Macaca fascicularis: one gene and its partner. The protein of the gene in region 1 binds, or shares a complex with, the protein of each later gene. Links are inferred from orthologs where the notes say so. Each region holds a gene or a part of one and is shown on either strand. Other genes may lie near its edges.

Region 1 (3,997 bases):
CAGCAGCCCTGCCAGCTCCTCACGCCCCTGCCCTGTGCTGGCTTGGCTGTGCCCACAGTGGAACCGGCGGAACGACATGGGGGAGACGCTGCTGCACCGAGCCTGCATCGAGGGCCAGCTGCGCCGCGTCCAGGACCTCGTGAGGCAGGTGGGTCCTGCTCTGGGACACGGGACAGGCTGCCCAGCATGGAGGAGCTGTGGGTTTGTGCCAGATCCCCTAAATCTCTCTCTCAACCTCCTCATCTTCAAAATGGGGCTCCTTAGCATGGTGGCACTTGCCTGTGGTCCTAGAGGCAGAAGGATCACTTGCTCCTGGGAGATTGAGGCTGCAGTGAGTCGTGATTATGCCACTGCACTCCAGCCTGGGCAACAGAGTGAGACCCTGTTTCAAAAAAATTTAAAAAGCAGAGCCTGAGCAGAGTGGCTTATGCCTGTAATCCCAGCACTTTGGGATGGCAAGGCAGGCAGATCACATGAGCCCAGGAGTTCGAGACCAGCCTGGGCAACCTGGCAAGACCTTGTCTCTACAAGAAATTTTAAAATTAGCTGGATGTGGTGGCGTGTGCCTGTAGTCCCAGCTACTTGGGAGGCTGAGGCAGGAGAATCGCTTGAACCTAGGAGGTGGAGGTTGCAGTGAGATGAGATTGTGCCACTGCACTCCAGCCTGGGTGAACGAGACTCCGTCTCAAAAATAAAAAGCACAAAAAATGCGGTGCCCAGGCCGAGCGCAGTGGTTCATGCCTGTAATCCCAGCACTTTGGGAGGCCGAGGTAAGCAGATCACGAGGTCAGGAGCTCGAGACCAGCCAGGCCAACATAGTGAAACCCTGTCTATACTAAAAATACAAAAATTAGCTGAGTGTGGTGATGCACGCCTGTAGTCCCAGCTACTCAGGAGGGTGAGATGGGGGAATTGCTTGAACCCAGGAGGTTGCAGTGAGCCAAGACCACACCATTGCACTCCAGCCTGGGTAACAGAGTGAGACTCCCTCTCAAAAAAAAAAATGGGGTGCCCGCTGTGTGGTACGCATCTGTGTTGCAGCTAAGTTGGTCAGCCTGGCCAGGATGGGGGCTAGCCCCTGGGCTGAAACCTGGGCACCTTCCCACCCCACCTGCCTCATGCCCCTGCAATTTGGGTGCACCGTCTGCCCACAAGGGGACCGGGCAGGCACAGAGGTTGGAGGATATGCTGTGGCTGGTCCACCTGTCTCAGGGGGAAGCATGTCCTTCACTGGTGACACCTGGGCCAGAGGAAGAGAGGGCAGGGCCACGGGACTTGCTCTGGGCTCTAAGACTGAGGCCCTGGGCCCAGCTCAGGCTGCAGAGCTCATGGGACTGGGGCCAAGCTGTGACGTACACAGGGCCAGGCTCCTTCCTGTCCTTGGTCACAGGGCCACCCCCTGAACCCTCGGGACTACTGTGGCTGGACGCCTCTGCACGAGGCCTGCAACTACGGGCATCTAGGTGAGCAAGGGACAGGAGCCTGGCGCACCTCGGTGGACACGTGGGGCAAAGAGTCAGTCCTTGGGGGGCATCAGGAGCTGGGCTCACATCTCCTGGTCTGTAGAAATTGTCCGCTTCCTGCTGGATCACGGGGCCGCAGTGGACGACCCGGGTGGCCAGGGCTGCGAAGGCATCACCCCCCTGCATGATGCCCTCAACTGTGGCCACTTTGAGGTGGCTGAGCTGCTGCTTGAACGGGGGGCGTCCGTCACCCTCCGCACTCGAAAGGTGAGCCTGGTGGGGCAGAGGGCAAAGGTGAGGGTATGGGGGCTGCTGTGCTCCTGTTCAACTGATACCACACAGGGCCTCAGCCCGCTGGAGACGCTGCAGCAGTGGGTGAAGCTGTACCGCAGGGACCTGGACCTGGAGACACGGCAGAAGGCCAGGGCCATGGAAATGCTGCTCCAGGCAGCCGCCTCAGGCCAAGGCAAGCAGGGCCTCCCGCGTCCCTAGGGTTGCTATGCCTACCCTGAGAGTCCCCGGGCCCTGATTTCGGGAGATGCTCATTCACAGGTGGAATGGGAGGTGCCGGGCCCCTGCCTCAACACGGATTCTCTCTTCCACAGATCCCCACAGCTCCCAGGACTCCCTCACCATCCCAAGTAGCCTTCTGTTTGACCCTGAGACCTCTCCTCCTCTGAGCCCCTGCCCAAAACCCCCCTCTAATAGCACTAGACCCCCAGAGGCCTCTCAGGCCCGTGCCAGGGTCTCCCCAGGGCAGGCAGCACCAGCCGTGGCCAGGCCTCGGAGGAGCAGGCATGGGCCAGCCAGCAGCAGCAGTTCGGAAGGTGAGGACAGCACAGGCCCCCCGCGGCTGTCCCAGAAGAGGCCTCGGTGCTTGGCCACAGCACAACAGGTGGCAGCCCGGACGCCTGGCCCTGCCAGCAACAGGGAAGCAGCCGCAGCCAGCAACAGCCGGGCAGCCTACCAGGCAGCCATCCGGGGTGTGGGCAGTGCTCAGAGCCGGCTGGGGCCTCACCCACCGCGGGGCCAGAGCAAAGCCCTTGCCCCCCAGGCAGCGCTCATCCCGGAGGAGGAGTGCCTGGCTGGAGACTGGCTGGAGCTGGACACGCCCCTGACCCGCAGCCGCCGGCCCCGCCCCCAGGGCACTGGGGACAGCCGCAGGCCTAGTAGTACCTCCGGGTCGGACAGTGAGGAGAGCAGGCCCCGTGCCCGAGCCAAGCAGGTCCGCCTGACCTGCGTGCAGAGTTGCAGTGCACCGGTCAAGGCAGGGCCCAGCAGCCTGTCTTCAGAACCCCCAGGAAGCCCCAGCACCGCCAGGGTCTCAGAGCCCAGTGGGGACAGCTCTGCGGCAGGCCAGCCCTTGGTGGGTGTGCAGAGCTGGAGCAGAGCCCTCTCCTCACTTGGGGCAGGCAGGTGTGGGGTGGAGCCCACTGTGGCTCCTGACTCAGCCCTGCTGCCTTCACCTGCCAGGGTCTGGCCATGCCACCTCCCATCCGGGTTCGAGTTCAAGTTCAGGATCATCTTTTCCTTATCCCTGTCCCACACAGGTGAGACGTCGCCTGCCCTACCCTGCAGCCCACCTGTGCAGCTCCATGCCAGGGTGCTCATGTTTGCACATCAGGGTGGGGAGGGTGACGAGGACTCCCTGGTGTGTTCCTGGAGGACCCTGTGGCTCCCAGGAATGGCAGAGGGGCTGGTGGTGTGCTGGGCTGCAGGGAGAGGAGGGGCCGGCTACCTGGGAGTGGGAGAAGCGGCTGAGGGGGCTTTTGGCCCTGGGCAGGGATGGCGGGTTCCTGGGGCTTCACCCCAGCTGTGCGCAGGCAGCAGCAGCAGCGCCTCTGTCCCTGCAGCAGTGAGACCCACTCTGTGGCCTGGCTGGCCGAGCAGGCGGCCCAGCGCTACTACCAGACCTGTGGGCTGCTGCCCAGGCTCACCCTACGGAAAGAAGGGGCCCTGCTGGCCCCACAGGACCCCATCCCCGATGTGCTGCAGAGCAATGATGAGGTGAGCCGCGGGAGCCAGGGCCTTAGGCACCGGGAGCCCCCAGGTGACTCATGACGGTGCCTTCCAGGTGTTGGCTGAGGTAACTTCGTGGGACCTGCCTCCGTTGACCGACCGCTACCGCAGGGCCTGCCAGAGCCTGGGGCAAGGTGAGAGCCAGGAGAGCTGCAGTTTCTGGGTGAGGCCGTGCAAGGGGATTGGGCACACAGGCTCCACCAGCCCAGTTCGTTCCTGGACCTCGGGTGTTTCGGGGTACACCTCCCCCAGCCTGGTGGGTGCTGTGTCCTGCGCTTGGAAGTATGGATGGCAGGGAGAGGACAGCCCTCAGCCCCCATGAGCTGCTGATGGGGAGATGGTAAAAAGCAGCCAAAAGCCTGGAAAGTCAAGCCCAAGGAGGAGAGCCTCACGTGGGCTGGGAGCTGCTGGAGAAGCTTCCCAGAAAGCTTGTCCCAGGGGGCGTGGAATCTGGCGCTGACTGGTGGAGCTTAGGGTGCTGCAGACCCACATCGGCCCCCACGGCCTCACAGTGC
Region 2 (4,441 bases), on another chromosome or scaffold:
GAGAGAGAGAGAGAGAGAGAGAGAGAGAGAGAGAGAGAGAAGGGGGGAGGCTTAACCAAAGATTCTGAGTACTATGATAAATACAGAGATACTCAAATTTTCTTCTTGAGTTTTGAGTTTCTGTCTTTTAAGGAATTTGTCCATTTCACCTATGTTTATTGGTATAAAAATGTTCATAATGTTCTTTTAATATCCTTGTCCTTTTAATGAGTAAATTTCATAGTGATGAAACCTTTTTAATTCCTGATACTGATAATATGTTTATTTTATCAGTCTGGGTAGAGGGTTTATCAATTATATTGCTCTTTTTAAAAAACAACTTTTGGTTGCATGTATTTCCTTCCATTTATTTCAACTATTTATTATTTCATTCATTTTGCTTGTTTTGGTTTCAATATGCTGGTGATTTTTTTCTAGTTACTTAAGACAAAAGTTTATTGAGTTGAGTTCTTTCTTCTTTTTAATGTAACCAGGTACTATTACAAATTTTAATGTTTTCGTTTTAATTGAAAGTATTTTCTAATTTTCCTGTGATTTTTCCTGATTCATAGGTTAGTCACAAGTATGATTCTTAATCTCCAAAATTAGAGTTTTTCAGTTATCTATTTTTTTATTTCTAGTTTAACGCCATTATGATCAGACTATATACTTTGTACGATTTAAGTCCTTTTAAAGTTGATGACGTTTGTTTTATGGCTCGGAATGTGGTCTCGCTTAGTGAATGTTTCATGTGCACTTGCCAAGAGTGTGTATTCTGCTATTGTTGGGTTGGTCACCTATAAACGTCAATTAGGTCAAGTCGGTTAATAGGGCTTTCCAAGTTTTCCATATCCATACTAACTTTCTGTCTACTTGTTCCATCAGTTACAGAGAAAATTCACTGTTGCACTTGCCTGCCTCACAGTCCGTGGACAAAAGGCATCCTGCATTCTAACAAGAGTTGCTGGCCCCAGAGCGGGAAGAGGGGACGGCGCGACTGTAGGTGTGAACCAGGCACTCACTTCGCACTCACTGGAGTAAATCTCTTCCCTTTAGCCAGAGGATAAACCCGTAGTCCTTAAATCCTCCTCTCCTCCGCCTCAGCAGCAGTTCCGTTTTTTTTTTTTTTTTTTTTACCAGGCCCCTCCTTCCAGTCGAACGCACCAATTAAAGGTACAAAAAAAAAAAAAAAAAAAAAGTTTATCTGTACCTTGTCCCGGGTTGACTGACTCTCGCGAGAATTCGTGGAGCTCCGACTGTTTCCGCGCAGATATCGCGAGGCGATTGGTAGCCGGGGGAGGGCTGCGCCGTGGCCCCGCCTTTCCGGAGCGCGGGCGCGCGGTGGCGGGAATTTCGCTTGTTTGCGGTTTAGACCCCACAGATTCCTAGTGGTGGTATGGGTCACAGGAGGTAGATTTCGGGAGCTGGAAGTGTGAGCAGGTACGACAGGCACCTCGGGTAACCGACGCACCGGGTCCTTGTTGCAGCCGGGTGCGCGGGATACTGGCACCCAGCCTTCTCCGCCCGGGTGCTGCCGGGCATGGGCCTGGTGGGTCTCGCCTCCTTGAAGGGTTGAGGTTGGCTCTAGGGACTGGTTTCCTGGTTTCCACCCCGAGCCGGGGAGGGAGCGTTCTCCACCTTGCTGCTAGGAAACGGGCGGAGAGTGGTTTAGAAACCTTGCGGAGGGCGAAGTTCTAGGCGAGCCCGGGACGCTCTGTTCTGCAGACATTTCTTTGCTTTTCACCTTGTCCTGGGCTGCACAGTCCGACCTAGTGGGCTGATTTTGAAGTCCCTGCCACAGCCAGTTGGTTGTGCATTTTGTCTTAAGTTCTGGCAGCCTTGAGGGGCGGAGCGGCAGGGGAGGATTGGGAATTTGGCTTCTGGGTTTGTTCGTTTTTCCTTGCTGCTGGCGGACGTCCTGGGAACTTTCTGAAGTAACCCCCAGTCTCTCGGCCCCCACCTACAGGAATTTCTTCACACCTTCTCTTTGGAGCCCTTAATGATACGACGAACCCCAAACATTTCAGAACATGAAGTAAACAATGGAAAACTGTTCTGCCGCATCGACGTTCCTGACTGACAGTTTAGAGCTGGAGCTGGGCACAGAATGGTGCAAACCTCCTTACTTTTCTTGTGCTGTTGACAACAGAGGAGAAGGAAAACATTTTTCTGGAGAATCCTACCTTTGCAGCGGAGCCCTTAAGCGGTAGGTAAAGCTCAGAGACATTTTCCCTCATCTGATTATTCGCCAGTTTTTTAGGAATGTTAGTTACTTCAGCCCATTTAACTTGGGTGTTCACCAAATCATGTTTTACAAATCAGCTTAGTATATCATAAGGGTACAAATGATTATCAGTTCTGCTGCTGGCTTCTTGGTAAGGGCATATCTAAAGCATTTGGGGTATTAGGGAAAACTTCCTTGGTAACTGATGTGCCCTTACTGTAGGGAGCTGGGCGCTAATTTTTCTTTTACTTAAAGTGAATTCCTAATTGTCTGAGCCTTTTGAAATGGTATTTCCTTCTAAAGGGTGTGATAATATTCTAGAGCTTTCCAGTAATTTTTAAGAAAGACAAACATTTTTTTTATTGCCCCGTTCCTTTTAATTCTACCTATTTTGCTTCGGGCAGGTACATACATATTACAGTAAAACTGCTGTTCTTGAAATATTTTGGTAATACCTGCTGAGGCAGTTTCAGTCAGGAAACTTTTTGTTGACTTTATAGTTGTACGTTGTGAGAGACCTTAAATAGAATACCCAACTTCATTAATTGGATACTGTTCTCCAGACAAGGCTCAGAGTAACTGTTAGCAGTTTCAACAATTAAATGTCCCCTCGGAGGATAAAATTCTACAACTGAAGACTACTGGTGAAGACAGGCAGAAATATGTGTTTTAGAACCCGTGTTGATTTTTCCTCTTAACTTACATTACACTTTAGTTGTACATTTTATCAATATAGAAGATTGACATTTTAATACAGTCTAGCTATTGTAATCTTGAATGTGTAAAGTACCAAGGCATTTTCTGACTTTTTATACATGTCATGTATAATATGGATTCAAATAATGTAAAGGTATGGTACTTAGTTTACTTTTTAATGGGATTAAAACATAATTTTCATTTCAGATTGATTTTGAATCTTGATCCTTTACCAACTAATTTTGAAGAAGACACCTTAGAAATATTTGGCATTCAGTGGGTTACTGAAACAGCATTAGTGAATTCATCTAGAGAGCTCTTTCATTTATTCAGGTATTTCTTCGTTTTAACTTTCTGTGAGTGTAGGTGTTGTTCACTTGTGTAAATTACATTGTTGGGTGGCTTCTAATACTGATACTGCAAAAGACCAGGAGAATTGTGCAGGTTGCTCACTTGATTATCTTACCAGTAATGGTAATCAAGCAGCAACACCTGATGAATAATGGTTTTAATGAGTTGTGTTTTATTTTCAGAATCTTTATTCTTTGCATTTGACTTCATGTATTGACAAATATTTAAGGCTTTGAACTATGATTTTGGAAGAAAATTAAAATACTTTTGTTGTTCAATAGCCATAGTGTTTCAGTGATCTTTAGAGTATGATCTTTCCAAATAAATAGTTTAGATTGTGTAATAGAAATATTAATTCTCTATTTGGACAACATTAAAAATTTTTTTAATGAAAAAATTTAAGCATACACAAAATAATATAATGAACATCCATATACCCTCCTTCAGTTGCAGTAAACAACAACTTTTTATTACATTTCCTTCATATGTCTTGTCTCCTCTTCTTTTGATTCTTTTGACTGACTTGTAAGCAAATCCTAGGTATCATGTCATTTCACCCATAAATACTTGAGTATGAATTTCTTAAAAATATGGGCTTTTTAAAAACGATGAGGACAGCTAGGCACGGTGGCTCATGCTTGTAATCCCAGCACTTTGGGAGGCCGAGGCGGGCAGACCACGAGGTTGGGAGTTTGAGACCAGCCTGACCAACATGGTGAAACCCCTTCCCTACTAAAAATACAAAAATTACCTGGGCGTTGTGATGCGCGCCTGTAGTCCCAGCTACTCGGGAGGCTGAGGCAGGAGAATTGTTGGAACCTGGGAGGCGAAGCCTGCGGTGATTCGAGATTGCCCACTGCACTCCAGCCTGAGCGACAGAGCGAGACTCCGTCTCAAAAAAAAAAAAAAAAAAAAACTCTATTAATAAAAATTAAAGTTCTTCATTATCACTTAAGACACAATTCATATTCAGATTTTAGGTAATTTTAAACAGGAGTCAGTTATTGAAACCAAATTATTTCAAAACACAGTAAAAATCTCTGTGATACATTTAAAGGAAAATGGAGAGGTGGGAGGAATTCTCCCACTATCATCCCATGAAATCTTTTGAAGAGACTTAACTGTATCTATGCCATGTCATACATTTTATTGAGAGAACAGGCTGAGTGAGCGAGGCTTTAGGACATAGGT

The links. Proteins that work in one complex are often made in the same cells at the same time.
Region 2: TONSL (region 1) and MMS22L share a complex: the UniProt entries of both Homo sapiens proteins name them as parts of the MMS22L-TONSL complex. The link is inferred for Macaca fascicularis from reciprocal best matches to the Homo sapiens genes TONSL and MMS22L.

The regions. Positions count from the first base shown.
Region 1 is NC_088382.1:154,145,049-154,149,045, reverse strand, and holds part of TONSL (tonsoku-like protein), read left to right. Parts: intron 1-58; coding exon 59-148; intron 149-1,390; coding exon 1,391-1,463; intron 1,464-1,566; coding exon 1,567-1,730; intron 1,731-1,805; coding exon 1,806-1,929; intron 1,930-2,068; coding exon 2,069-2,829; intron 2,830-2,936; coding exon 2,937-3,013; intron 3,014-3,316; coding exon 3,317-3,470; intron 3,471-3,537; coding exon 3,538-3,616; intron 3,617-3,997. UniProt on the Homo sapiens protein: Component of the MMS22L-TONSL complex, a complex that promotes homologous recombination-mediated repair of double-strand breaks (DSBs) at stalled or collapsed replication forks.
Region 2 is NC_088378.1:78,032,811-78,037,251, forward strand, and holds the start of MMS22L (protein MMS22-like), read left to right. Parts: upstream 1-1,296; 5' UTR 1,297-1,419; intron 1,420-1,945; 5' UTR 1,946-2,021; coding exon 2,022-2,185; intron 2,186-3,106; coding exon 3,107-3,232; intron 3,233-4,441. UniProt on the Homo sapiens protein: Component of the MMS22L-TONSL complex, a complex that promotes homologous recombination-mediated repair of double-strand breaks (DSBs) at stalled or collapsed replication forks.